3 linked regions of the Danio rerio genome follow. The protein of the gene in region 2 purifies or fractionates together with the protein of the main gene of each other region. This does not show direct contact. Links are inferred from orthologs where the notes say so. Each region holds a gene or a part of one and is shown on either strand. Other genes may lie near its edges. The genes, in order: rpp40, pop4 and rpp38.

Region 1 (4,418 bases), on a different chromosome or scaffold from region 2:
CTTCAGGCTCTCCTCCCCTCCCTGGCCAATGTGTATGAGGGCACACCTGATTCAGCTCATCAGCTTTTAACAGAGAGATCCATGAAATGATCCTTGTGTGTCAAATGAGAGAGACATACTAAATGTGCAGGTCGGGGGGGCCTAAGGACCGGAATTGAGCTACACTAAGGACAAAAGCACATACTTTTTATGACTGTGTAATAATGATTGTCAAGACAAAAATCAACACTCAAGTAAATGTGGACGAGGCCTTGGCTTAGTAGGAATGAACAGTTATTTGTATCAAAGTTAACTTTTGTACTTTTTCCCTGCTTAATTTTAAACGTTTTTTTTTCAGCTTTGTTAGTTTGTATGTTCATACAAACTGTTTGCTTTTGAGTAACATTATTATACCACCAAATAATTTTGATGTACATGTTTGTTGACAAATATTTCTAATTTAATAACTTATGAAATTGAAGGAGGAAGTTCCTCATGAGTCAATAAAGGATGCTGGCATTTTAAATCTGCATCCTTACGTTGTTATTTTTCTTCTTCTGGTTCAAACTGACTGGACTGCTGTATTATCAGAAAGAGCCCTGGAGGTTAAACGACCATCTCTAAGGGAAGATCAACTAAAATCTTCCACAAACGCCTGTAGTTACTAGCTAGTGTGCACTGTTAGTCAGTGGAATACAATGTTTTAGAATGTGAGGGAATGGAGTAGGTTTAGGAAAATGGCTTACACAAAACTATTGAACGTGACAAATTCCTGCAGGAATATTAAAGCCCTACCTCTCAACATTATTTTCAGCTATGAAGTGTGTGGTTTGAACCCCATCCCTTTTTAAAATCGCTCTGGTGCAGATACACTATTGCTCTGTCCTGTTCCAAAATAACTGCTCTAAATAATCTACAGAAACTCAAAATTGAAGTCAGTAATCAGTCCCAGCAGTGTAAATGATATATGTTATTAATTCTGTTCAGTATTTATTGACTATAGATTGAATTTGCTGTAGTAGTTTCTATAACACGGAATAACAGGTGGTCGTGTGTGTTTTTTCCCTCTTTCCAAATGGTTTTGTAAAATGACTTTTTGTTTTGTTTATGGAATGATATTTATGATTGTGCAAATAGATTTGTTTTCATTTGTATTTCTTTGAATGCTTCAGTTGTTTTAAAAGACATTTTTTTGCAAAACAATGTGACAGGTCATGTTTGATTATGAAGTGGATTGCGACATTAATGATGTCTTCTCTGTTTTAACTTGTGTGTATAATGTAAACTCTGCTTCGCTGGCTTATAACTGATGTCAGTGAAGCTGGTTTGATCTGTGAGGATTAACCTAGACTGTCTGTTAACAACCCAGAAAAAAAGTTCCAATTTACTCAAGCTTTGCAATAATATCTTAAATTCGTTAAACATTTTTGGTGTGTGTGTGTGTGTGTGCGCGCGAGCTCGGCCCTCTCTCTTTCTCTTATGGATGTCTTGGCATATTTGCATTGTGTAGTGTAATGTTAAACATGGCTATATCAGAGGAAATATTGCTTTATTCCAGTCACTTCACTGACAAATAAAAACAAAAAAAGTCTCATTATGGTTTTCTGACTTTCAGCATAGCTGTACACGTCATCTGCCTTTAATTTCAAACGCTGGTCAAAACTAGATTTTGTTATAAATATAAGGGCAATGCGTATTTCCTATAGTTGATATGTTAAATGTTATAAATTGTACAATCTGTAAATTTTTTTAGGTTTCTGAACATGTAACAGCTGTGAAAATGACTGGTCTAAATAAATTGATATACTATTTTATTTTACTTTGGTCCTCTTAAATGAATTTTAATAAAATAACTTTTATATTGTACAATTGAACACAAAGCCCATCGTTTCAAGGTGGACAGGCATCTTGAGCACCGGTGGCCATGTGTAGCCAGTAGTCCTGATTCTTGAAACAAACAAAATTGTAGAAGTTTTCACCACCTTTGAGGAAGCCGTGCTCTGAGGTTCCCCACGACACAGGACTGTCCATAAACCCATGCACTGTGAGGGAAAGCCATGGTGTGAACTTCGGTTCATCGAAATACTTCCTGAAAGACACGTTAGAGAAATAGACAACTTGTAAGTTTCAGATGTCCTCCTCGCTTTTTACAGCACAAGCATCCTCTTGAGAAAATAACTTAAGCATATGTGTACTTATACATATTTCACCACAAACTGAATGTGAATGTATTAATTTATATTAATATTGCATGAAATGTAACACTTTAAATCTGCTATTTTATAATATGCTGTTATCATACAGACTGTATCATTACTTCTAAAACACAAGTCGCAGTTTAAGAATTATTATTATTATTTTAAAGATGCCTCCACCATTTTTCCATCAAATAAAACAGTTGTCATTCCAATTCGCTACTGTAAACAAACTGAGTTCTTCTGATTGGTACACTGAGCCTGGTAAGGGCTTGAATGGGAAACCACTTGGGAAAACTAGGTTTCTGTTGGAAGTGGTGATAGTGAGGCCAGCAGGAGGTGCTCATCCTGCGGTCTGTGTGGGTCCTTATGTCCCAGTATAGTGAAGGGCATATTCACAGCAGTGTACTAGAAGCATAAACATTTTTCTGTTGCATTTTTAAAATGTCTTGCATACAATAGCAACCAAAATATGCTGTTATGCACATCAGGCATGCAGTGGGTGATGATTTCACTCTGTAAACCAGGGGTGCCCAAACTCATTCCGGGAGGGCCAGTGTCCTGCATAGTTTGGTGTCAACCCCAATTAAACACACCTTTTCTAGGTATACTTGAAATTTCCAGGCAGGTATGTTCAAGCTAAACTATGCAGGACACCGGCCCTCCTGGACCAAGTTTGGGCACCCCAAGTTTGGTTTACACCCCTGCTGTAAACAATATGCTTTCGCCACTTCGCCACTTTGGAAGAGAGAAAAAAAAACCTTTAGAACCCACTTAAAATAAAAAAGTTAGCATTTTCAGGCCTTCAAAACACTGGTTGTGTAAATAAAAGGCTGGTTGTGATACAGAAGTGATGGTGTGCTTACCTGAGCTCCTGCAGCAGCACAAACACATTCTCAGGTGAGATGAAGCCAGTGACGCTGCACACCACAGCCTGACTGATGGAGCTCTGAGGCTCGGGACACACATATGTAGACAGGAAACTGTCAGCTGCATTTTCACTGAAAACACATAAAATTCACTTAAGAGATGCACAGACACACTACGAAATGGCAGTTTGTGAAATACCATGTTTCCAAATCACATATTTTTGTGCACATCAAAACGCACTGGATAAAATCTTCATATATAAATCTTCACAATATATTGTGATATGACAACAATTTCACCCAAATCATTTGGAAATATATCGTTATGAACTGTTCATTACACTACAAACTAAAATGTAACTGGAATAAAGATTACTAACAGCATTCAGGTGCAGAAATTAAATAAATGAAACTGGAGAGTCTTCACCGTATAAAGCGGCTTTATCTTTTTTACAGCTACAAATGTTCTCTTTTCATGTGCTTGAATACTTTACGCTGACTCGGTATGCGAACAGTAAGAAAAGGTTTCCACAGGTCAGGGAATTTTAAAAAATGTCTATTCCAGACATTGAAAATCAGTGAATGCGAGCAGGGGGGCTTGAGCAGCTTGCAATTCTCTTTTCCTATGGATTTATACATTAAGACACCATTAAGGTCAAAATTATTAGGCCCTTTAAGCTTTTTTTTTTTTTTTGATAGTCTACAGAACAAACAACCGCTACACAATAACTTGCCTAATTACCCTAACCTGCCTAGTTAACCTAATTGACCTAGTTAAGCCTTTAAATGTCACTTTAAGCTGTATAGAAGTGTCTTGAAAAATATCTAGTCAAATATTTTTTACTGTCATCATGGCAAAGATAAAACAAATCCGGTATTAAAAAAATAAATAGTTATTAAAACTAATGTTTAGAAATGTGGTGAAAAAAATCTTCTCTCCGTTAAACAGAAATTGGGAAAAAAAATAAACATGGCTCATAATTCAGGGGGGCTAATCATTCTGACTTTAACTATATTTATATATATATATATATATATATATATATATATATATATAGTTATATAACCAGGCCCGGATTGGCTAATCGGGAGGACTGGGAGAATTCCCGGTGGGCCGGTCAGTTTGTTGGCTGCGAGGGCCGGTGTTCCTAGCTCCAGAATCTGTTGCTATCAGCAGTCACACTTTTTAAAAATAATTTATTTATTTACTTGACCACAGCCTTCTTATTCATTATTTTACCGCAGCTCTGCTCTTTTAATCTTTTTATCTTTTTAGCCTGCAGGTTAATGTTGATATACCTAGATAAGTCACCATTCAGTGTACAGCTGTTGTGGTACAGTGGTTAATACCACCAACCCGGGTTCGGACCTCGTC
Region 2 (4,818 bases):
TACCATTAAAAAAAATGTATTAATCTGCTGGCCACATGTGTTCCAAACCGTGGTGTTATGATTGTTATTGGTGATTGTGATTCGTTACACCCCTAATTTAAACCTATTTCATGGATGTCTTCTTATGTTCAGTGCAAGATAAGCACTGTGGAAAAGCTTTCATTTGTTGCTAGATCTTGCTAGATAAAAATCAGCAAACAAAACCATGCCATTGATCAACAAAAATAAATTAAGTCATTTAGATTAAAAATAAAAAACAAATATGACAATCCACTTTAGATGTGTCATAATATTACGCCCAACAACATTCTAGTTAAGAGAACATTGTGTTTTTCAGCCTTTCGCTACAAAACACATCTTTCTGCTTTTAGGCGGTTTTCTTAAAATCCTGGAATAAATGTTTTTTTACTAGTAATATTTCTGTTAATATAATGGATACCAGATGACAGTGTTGCTAATAGTCTATTTTATAAGTGAGAAAAGTGATATGTAAAATGACTTATTAAATGATAAATTTAAGTTTTAAAAATCCTTTGACTTTCAGTTGTGGTAGTCCCATAGACTGTAAAATATATGGACGTAGTATCCGTGACGTCATCCATAGGTTTCTGAACATTGCAAAAGAAGCTACAAGTAGGCGCGTCTTCGCACTCACGGCGGGATACCAAACAAGGGCAAAGAGGATGAGAGTGAATGGAGCTAAAGACACCTGCTGGCATTTAGCTTGGACCTTGCTTAGACAGACTTTACTTTGCGAGAACACTTGATACTTCATTACCTGTGACTCGTTTGTCTTCTGACCACATGTGCTTGGTTGTACACTATATCCATAAAGTGTTTAGACTTTTAAAAACACTGTTGTACCACATTGAGCCACTAAGCATCGTTCTTGTGACGTTTTTCTACAGGAGAAAAAAGCAAATTATATGCTTTTGTATGACAATATTTCAGATGACTGTTCTAGAGCCTTCAGCTAATCAATCTGTCAGATTCTGGAGTGCTTTACAGGTCTAAAGAACATTTATAAATGATAAATAATCTCAAATAAGACCAATGCATTTATAGAGTTGGTATAAGTATAGAATTTCACCCACGTGAATGGTTTGTGAGCACAATAAAGTGAAGACAGCATGCAATATCACCTGACAATTGTAAGAAATAATTCCAAAAAGCAATTGACTGTGTAAAGCCACATAAAACAAAAATACGATGTATATCCCGAGTTCAGCACCTAATCTGCCGGAGTCAGCTGAGGTGAAGTGACGGTGACCAGCGAGACCTAGCTGTCACTCAAGTGGCCACGCCTTAATTATGCAGACTTAATATAACCTAATATAAACGAAACGCATGAGTTATATATAAATTCAGCACCTTCACAGTTGTCATGAAGGGTAGTCATAGCTATATGAACCAAAGTTGTTCTTTAAACACCCTTTTTTTCTGCTGTAAAGTTGGCCATTCTAATAGTGGGCTAAATTGAAATTTGCTCCAAATGGAGCAATGCGGAATTTCAATAAATTGCAGCTTCAGTTACTTCCGTATTGGCTTCCCGAGGGAGAGCGGGAGATTGCCGCTTGGGTAGTCCTCAACATAACATTATTAAAATTTAATTATTTAAATAAAATAAAAATTTTAATGGACTCTTTTCACAAGCCTTTTATGAGGTGTTTAACGGTCATCATAATCTTAAATCCTTGAAAGTTTGAACATGTAATGTATTTATGAATGTATTATAACATCTTTGCATCAAATTACAAAAAATGAATTGCCTCTTACGTGAGGTGTTTCTAATGCAGCATCTATGGAGCTGAGAGTAAATTTGACGTTATTCTCTCATCTGGCAGCCGTCATCAGTCTCACACTATTTTTTTCTTTCTGAAAGTCTTGACAACACCACCAAGGAGTGTTTCTCTTATTTCAGCTAATAGGAATGTAAAAAAAATATATGTGTTTTACTCTCCTATTCACTGCGCTTTTAAGTTTACCCAACTATGAAGTCTTCTGCTACTGAGAAACCTGGAAATGGGAAAAAGGTCTATTGGTCAAACTTCATACTAGGCCTGTTGTGGTGCACCAATATTTGATGTCAACCACAATATTTCCAAAATTAAATACTTATACTATGTTTTCTATAATATAACTCATCCCCAGTAACATGTTATTTATATGAATTTGATCGATTGCATTATATATAGCTTGTTTTCTTTATAGATATCACAGTGATATATTTGGTTTTTTTGGCCCTAAAATCTGACAGTATAATTTTAAAGTAATCAACTTTTTTGTTAACACAAGTGACAAAACTCCAGGAGACCACTACTTTCATCATATTTTATGATATTTATTTGCCATTTTTGTTATTTACATCAAATATTTGATTGTTTATGAATGTTACTGTATTTTGAATGATGGAAAAACATTCCCTCTGTGATCAGATATAGTCCAGACTAAAAAAAAAAATAATCATCTTCCTCAGTCTACTCCCAGTCATTAGGCACCTTTCACAACCTCTTTTTACCAAATGAATGCGTCTTGTAGATTAACTTTTTCCCCACTCTTGCTCCTTTTCCAGTTATACCAAAGAGGAACAGTGTGTTCAGTGTGGAGGTTGGAGGTTTCGTTTCTCACATCTATGGCAGCAAGTTTGAACTGCGCTCCAGTGAGCGATCAGCCAAGAAATTCAAAGTCAAAGGGACTATTGACTTGTAACGGACCACATTCACATTGTCATCTTTAACTAGTGTCTTCTACTGGAGCCCAAGATCCAGTCAGTATTCATTAATCATGTCATTTATTTTGTTTTTAATCTAAGGAAAGATTTTATTTCCATCGCTTATATCTGTAAAACTAGATTCCTTTAATGTCCACAAGGGGGAGACATTCACCCCACCCATTTTTTTTATTTTCTTTTTTGTAGAGCAGGAACAAGGAAATTCAGCCAATTCATTTTTTTTATATTTATGAGCTCATTTATTTAACTAAAACAAAGGCAGGACTGTAAATACTTTAAATAAAGAAATACAATACAAAGCAATACTTTGTCTTTAAGAGCATGTTTAAAGCTTCCTTTTAATGTCTTTATGACAGTACATCCTCACTTTACATCTGTTTATTGTGTATATTTAATTACCAAAGTACATTTAGAAGCTGTGTTTATAGAGTTTAGTTTTGGGGAAAGGTGATGGTGATAGCTGGTACACCCAATCAATTTTATTTTTTTATTTTTTATTTGATAGAAGTAAAATCCTGCATACAGTGCAATAGTGGCTCAAACATGTAAAAGTAATGCGTCCTGTTGACTGAACACAGGTCTTATACACTTCTGTTCTGGGTCAAATGGTAAATGCAAGAACTGTCAGTGTTTTTAGTTAAGTTAGTCAAACTGGCAATAAAACTTGCAAGAATTTATTAGTGATGCAATACAGGGTACATTAATGCAGACGATCACTAATACTCTACCTTGAAAGCATACACTAGAATTTACATGCGTCTCTTAAGGTTTGAGCAGTGTGTCATGATTTATGAGTGGTTGCATCATAATTGTGCATCATCAATATGCTAAATCGGAACACATTTGTTTTTATGAGCACTTATGATTCATGTTCTTAAAGCATCTGTAATTAGCAATGTACAGTGCTCAGCATAAATGAGTACACCCCATTTTGCTAATTAATATTTTTATTAATTTGTCAGTAAATGTAGGTCATATTTTGGTGCATTTGACTAATTTATTAAATGGATATATTTATTTAAATAATATTTTAGTAATCAAACACATTTAGAAATTTAAAGATATTTTTAAAGATTCATGCAAAATGTTGGAAAACAATATTACAAACTACAACATTTTTAAAATTTAAGTTTTTCTTGAATTTTGCTCATTTTAAATGCCTATATATATATGTGTATATATATATATATATATATATATATATATATATATATATATATATATATATATATATATATATGCTTCAGTACTGACTAATGTATAAGCATGCACAAATACATTATTATTATTTTAAAGCTTCCTATTGTAAATATTAATTTAAATAAGACATTTGTAAGCGTTGTACTTGTATATGCTGAGCACTGTAAATGTTAAATCCAAAGACAGATTAAAAAAAAAAAAAAGTACTATAATGAACTGAATGTCGAACCTGAAATTTGCACAAACTTATTGTTGGAAAAATTAACTTTTAAACATTTTAAAAATGTAGCTTGAATAATGTTTAAATGGCAATCTTGCGAAATATTATCTCCTTTATTTGGATAAAGTCATCTGCTTAATAAATAAATGTAGACATTTTTCCAGACTGAGGTTCTCAATCAGAAACAAAAATATAACGAGAAGCAATTCCTCCCACAACACTTCTATGTCTTTACTTTAAACAGATATACATTTTAAAGTGCATAAAAGTTCAACTTTGCAATGTTTTCATTAACAATAATAAAAACACTCCACACAATATGCTTCTCTTTCTGTCATCTCTCACTAAAAAGTACCAAAAGTGCCTCCATTGTGTTGATATTAGGAGCAAACATCCATCCACACTTTACCTATTGTTCCTACTCACTATATCCATCCATTATTTGAGGTTCAGTTTCTATTGGTTGAACTTTCCAGTTTCAAGCAACATTGGTAAGCACCGCATAATACTTATTGTAATGCAATCTAGGTTGTCCTTGTTTAGAAAGCTGCATGTAATGTCATTCTAGAAGGACTATCTTAAAGATTTAAAGATATAGTTCACCCAAAAGTGAAAACGGTCATCGTTTACTCGCCACTGAATTGTTCCAAACCAGTTTGACTTATCT
Region 3 (5,721 bases), on a different chromosome or scaffold from region 2:
GGTATAAAATAATTTTGAAAGTCTAATTTCAAATAAATTAAAATATAATAACATTTAATATGATCACTTATTCATTTAATATGATCACTATATGTATATATTTAGGAACAGTATAGAAAAAAATTACACTCAACATTTATTTTCACGTTTTTGTGGCATGATTTACAAAACAGTCACTTTATTTGTATTGCCTATGACTCATAATCATAAAAGGTAGATCATGCATTACTTTATGAAGTTATAATTTTCCAATTAGAACATTTGTTTCTGAATTAAATACTTCAATTTTAGATAAAAAAAAATACAATTTAAAAAACTCAAATATACACCAATGCTGTTAAAAAAATCCCTAGAAAAAAACAACGGCTCATTATTTTTACCATGATTTACAGGAGACACTAAAATGTTATTCAGACAGTCTATTTATTATAAAAAAATGTTGTTACAATTATTTTATGACATTAATTGTCTTATCAATTACAATTCATTTGATTTTTAAATGGTTATATTTACTATTATTCTTCAAACCTCTTGGAAATAGAGGAATAGCAAAATTGTAATCTTACATTTTTAAAAATAATTTTATGATCACTCATTCTTTTATATAATTACAGTCCAGAGTAAGTATGCTGTTTCATTTTTCATAATAATATCCATTATCCCAAATGAGAATAGAACATTTTCCCGTATTTCAACATTGATTTTAAAACAAGTTGATTTTAAAACTTTATTTGCATTCTGTTTTGTGAATTTAATATGATGCTGATATCAAAATGGGATGTCCTGCCTTTGACCCATAATCATAAAAAGAGAGATCATATATTCTTTGCTTTATGACCTTATTATTTAGGTTTAGAGGAGATACTAAAATGTCATTCAGATGGTGTAACCTCCTGTAAAAACAAATCTTGTCACAATTATTCAATGACATTTTAAGTCTAACAATAGTTTTATATATATATATATATATATATATATATATATATATATATATATATATATATATATATATATATATATATATATATATATATATATATATATATATATGTAATAAAACAAATATTGTTACAATTATATGATGACATTAAAGTCTGATTGTGGCTAATTGTGGATCATTAAGTGCATTTTTAAATGTCTAGATTTACCCATAATCCTTCAAACCTCTAAAAAGGAAAAACGAAATTCCATAAAGGAATAAAAACATGTAATCTTCAATAAAATATGATATTATTTGTTTTAACAGACTAGAATAATGCTGTTTAATTTTTCATAGTTATAAACATTATCCTAGATTACAACAGAAAATTAAACTACATTTCAACATTTATTTTCAAAGTTGTTTCGTAGCATTACCATGTAGTCACTTTATTTGCATTTTTTTTTTTGCAAACTAAATGATGCAGATACCAAAATGAAACATCTTGCCTTTGACTCATAATGATAAAAAGGTATACAGATCATATACTCTTTACTGCCTTTTTTTACTAGCTTATTATTTTCAATTTAGTCCAAACAATACATTTATCTCTTAATTAAGTGCTCATCAGTTTAAAACAAAGCAATCACTATCAATATTAATATTTATTAATCCTCACTAATATTATTATTAGTCACTGATTTCATGCTATCTATGAGCTGTTACGTTTATACGATTTTTAAATTGAAGGCTTGAAAAACATTAACAACAAATGTCATCAATAAAACAACAACAATCCAGGGGTTTTCAGTCATTTAGTCCAAGATAAGTTAAAAGTCCTTCATCAAAGTCTGTTCGTATTGCTTTTAAGTTTGTTGATCCCGCAATACACTCAAAATACATTTTCATTTCAATTTTGAATTTAGGAAAAAAAGGTTTACACTTACAAAACTTGCTCTTATAAATATGAAATTTGGCCAAAAAAATCAAGGTGTTTATAAGATTTATAAATGGTCTGGCCTGACTGTTTACGTTTATGACAAATTACAACCGAAAAGCTCTTTCGGAAACATTCACTAGATGGCAGTGTGTGCATTACAAACCCTGAACTATTAACCACAGAAGAAGACCTTCAATAACAACATGTCTGCACACACAACTTAGTACACGCTGTAGATGTTGAGCTGAGGAAATCTTCATTTCTGGCTAGTTAATTAGGTTTGTATATCATTTTTGCTGTGTCTTCTTGGTTGTTATGAATACTAAGTTGTTTATAGGCTACATGCCTCGTTGAGTTTAACGTGATTTGTAATGCTAGTTTTTGAACATTTCAAGCTTTCCAGCAATAATGTCGACCCCAGCGAAAGGAGCAACGAAGAAAGAAAAAAAGAAGCCGATACCAGTCAAAACATCCCTGAATAACCCGTACAACATTGGCTGGAGTGACCTCTTACAAAAACAACACAAACATTTAATACTTGACACTCTGAAAGAAAAATTATCCGCCACCGGGCTTCGGAAAGAGCGTGTCAGCCGGTTTCGCGATTGGGGAAGCAGAAGGAGGTCCAGAAAAAAGGCATCAAAACCCACCGAAGAGCAAAACCCAGCTTCTGAACCCGCAGAGAGCGTGCAAACCCCCGAGCCGGGCTGGACCAATCTGGCCCTGAGGAAACAGCTCGCCATCGGCATCAACGAGGTCACCAAGGGCCTAGAAAGGAACGAGCTGAGTTTGGTGCTCGTGTGTAACTCGGTCACCCCAGCTCACATGACGAGCCATTTAATCCCGCTGAGTAAAACCAGGTCGGTGCCCGCCTGCCAGGTACCCGGTTTGAGTGGAAGCCTGTCGGAGCTGCTCGGCCTCAAGTGCGTCCTGGCACTGGGCTTCAGACGCGGGTCCGAGGAGTTCGAGAATACGGTCCGCGCCATCACACCGATGGTCCCACAGCTCCCCGTGGCGTGGATTCAGACAGACTCAACACCAACAACCAAAGAAAAGCGCACAGAAATCGGACAGAAGAGGAAACTAGAAGAGCTGTCGAGTGATGCATCTCCTTTGGTTCTCCAGCCTCTAAAAGTAAAGAAAATCATTCCGAATCCAACGAAAATTAGGAAACCCAAACTGAAAAAACAGAAAAAAGTTGTTTAACCTGCATTCTATGAATGAAGAATGTGTAAACACGTTTATTATATTTATATTTTCAATAGTTTGTGATGATTTTGTGAGTGTATTTTACATTGTGATTGGTGGACTGTCATATTTGATGGTCTTTAAGAAAGCTGATCATTTAAAACTACACAATTTTGGCATTTGTAAAGACACCTTTTTTGAAATTTGGCAGATACTTTGGGTATTCTTACCACCAGAGTCGTTAAATTCATAAACCACTGAAGGGGGAAAGAAGTTTAATGTTAATGTTGAGTGAACCATTATAGGTTCACTTAACATTAAACTTCTTTCATTTTTTAAGACAGGGCTGTCCAAACTCTGGGCTGGTGTCCCGCATAGTTTAGCTCCCAACTTCCACACACCTGCCTGAAAGTTTCTAGTATACCTAAACCACTTGATAAGCTGGTTCAGGTATGTTTAACTGGGGTTGGAAATGAAGTATGCAGGACACCAACCCTCCAGGACCGAGTTTTGACACCCTTGTTAAGATAATTCTTCAGAATCTCAAAAAAAAAAAAAAAAAAGAAAGGCCTTTTTCTTAACTTCAATATTTGCTTAGGCTACTAAATACTTGGCTTGGACACACATTTTTATTAAGTATATGTGATGGTTATGAAAAATAAAAAGCCCCAACTGAGTAGCGTTTTACATTTTGGATGCTTTTATTCAGTCAAATATCCATGCTGGTATACCTTGATGTATATTATTTTTGACAATTAGATATTCGGGTGGACTGTCTTGTTTGACATGGTGCTGGTACTTGTTCCCATCAGTTCCATCCTGCAATGGAGTTCAATAAAAATACTGTCTTCAGAAAGAGAAAGCTGATCGTTTAAAACTACACAAGTTAAACGTTTAAAAAAAAACAACCTCTCTGAAATAAGGCAAGTACTTTAGGTGTTCTCACCATAACCCATAAATTCAAAAAACCATACAGCTCGAGGGGGGAAAAGGATTCATGCTCAGTTCATTCAGCAAGCCTTAGAAAAAACATATGCAAACTGACATTCGCAAAAAAGTGCCCTTGATGACGTTATTGAACGAAACCACTGACTGAAATGTGCGACTTTGAGAGGAGTACCTTTCTTTTGAAGCCTGACTGGACGTGCGCTTATTTAAAAGCAAATTGTAGATTCAGAAACATTAAAGCAAACCATGAAAGCAAAACCAGCTTCTGCTGAAGAATAACGTTCACATTAACGTTCATTAAGCTTCATCAGTGATTGTAACTGAAACAGCAAGCAAGCTTTCCTGACCGCATCACCAAAAGCATTAGGAGAAACGCTTATATCAAAATGAAAACGCACATATGATTGTTCAGCTCTTCTTGTGCTTAAAAATAGCAAAACGATCAGGACCTGATCGAGAAAACGCACCAGTCAAATGAGGTTATGGTTCACTGCAAATACTGAGAGAGCAAAGAAAGTGGAGAATAAAATGTAACAAGTAACTTAAGCACAATTCTAAATATCAGAATTGTTTAGCTAAAATGATGATTTAGAAACACTAGATGGTAAAGAACAGAAACGAGTGGGGGAAAAGAAGCTAACAATCATGCCTTCATGAAAAAAGAAATGGAAATGAATTCACATTCAAAATTCGAAATGTTTCTTTTGGACACACAAACCCTAAAACAAAACATCATATTCTTACAAATGCACCTCAGAGCAGTCCGGCCCTTTTATAAACAAGTTGATGTTGTGCTTCAAAACGCAATACATTCCTCCACACGTGTAACCATTTACTCGCTCCGCAAACAGACAGAAACTCAGAATGCTGTATGAATTCAAAGGCAGCTCCATACAAAAGACTTTGGATTTCGACCCATGTTCCTGTTCCGTTGTAAACCTCACAATACGTAATAAATATCTGGCATTAAATGTACAGCTTGCTAATTCACACAAATGTATCAACACTCCTTCATAGTACAAAACAAATGAACAAAAAGACAAAAACCATGGGAATAAACATGTTCTGAGAGAGGAGACAGATTGCATGTTGAGGAAAATAAACACTACGGTTGTGTATGTGTGTGTATCTGCATGTGTGTGTATGTATGTGCAGCTTGTAGATGTGTTTGACCTTGATAAATGTTTCTCACATTCTCAGAAAGAGAGTCAAAGACAAAGAGAAAGGAGGGAAAGCCCTCAGGAACTGGAACAAGACCTAAGAGAGCTGCACAACAGAACTCATTCACTTTGAATGGATGTCAGTTTTTCCTCTTTATATCGATTACGTCCAAGTCTGAGAATTCAAGGTGGACCTCTGAAATCAGTCGGCATCCAACAAGCAGCAGCCAGTTACTGTAAAACAAGGCCAACCTGCGGAGCATGGAGAAGAGAGTTAAAACACACTCCTATGATACTGATTTTGTATGGCATTTGTATGGCATAACCTACTCACTGGCCACTTTATTAGGTACACCTGTCCAATTGCTCTTGTAACGCAAATTTCTTATGAGCCAATCACATGGCAGCAACTTGATGCATTTAGGCATATAGACATGGTCAAGACGATCTGCTGCAGTTTAAACTGAGCATCAGAATAGGGAAGAAAGGGCTGGTCTAAGTATTTTAGAAACTGCTGATCTCCTGGGATTTTCACGCACAACCATCTCTAGGGTTTAAAGAGAATG

What was found.
Region 1: the proteins of pop4 (region 2) and rpp40 purify together in Homo sapiens (affinity purification with mass spectrometry; 3 studies listed by BioGRID and IntAct, counting the BioPlex papers as one, with this or other methods). This does not show direct contact. The link is inferred for Danio rerio from reciprocal best matches to the Homo sapiens genes POP4 and RPP40.
Region 3: the proteins of pop4 (region 2) and rpp38 purify together in Homo sapiens (affinity purification with mass spectrometry; 4 studies listed by BioGRID and IntAct, counting the BioPlex papers as one, with this or other methods). This does not show direct contact. The link is inferred for Danio rerio from reciprocal best matches to the Homo sapiens genes POP4 and RPP38.

What each region holds. Positions count from the first base shown.
Region 1 is NC_133177.1:26,946,884-26,951,301, reverse strand, and holds the end of rpp40 (ribonuclease P protein subunit p40), read right to left. Parts: intron 3,176-4,418; coding exon 3,041-3,175; intron 2,069-3,040; coding exon 1,870-2,068; 3' UTR 1,778-1,869; downstream 1-1,777. UniProt on the Homo sapiens protein: Component of ribonuclease P, a ribonucleoprotein complex that generates mature tRNA molecules by cleaving their 5'-ends. Also a component of the MRP ribonuclease complex, which cleaves pre-rRNA sequences.
Region 2 is NC_133182.1:47,667,127-47,671,944, forward strand, and holds the end of pop4 (ribonuclease P protein subunit p29), read left to right. Parts: intron 1-2,572; coding exon 2,573-2,709; 3' UTR 2,710-3,034; downstream 3,035-4,818. UniProt on the Homo sapiens protein: Component of ribonuclease P, a ribonucleoprotein complex that generates mature tRNA molecules by cleaving their 5'-ends.
Region 3 is NC_133191.1:31,717,685-31,723,405, reverse strand, and holds rpp38 (ribonuclease P protein subunit p38), read left to right. Parts: upstream 1-2,030; 5' UTR 2,031-2,137; intron 2,138-2,254; 5' UTR 2,255-2,267; coding exon 2,268-3,065; 3' UTR 3,066-3,724; downstream 3,725-5,721. Other genes in the region: nmt2 (glycylpeptide N-tetradecanoyltransferase 2), read right to left, coding at 5,387-5,407. UniProt on the Homo sapiens protein: Component of ribonuclease P, a ribonucleoprotein complex that generates mature tRNA molecules by cleaving their 5'-ends. Also a component of the MRP ribonuclease complex, which cleaves pre-rRNA sequences.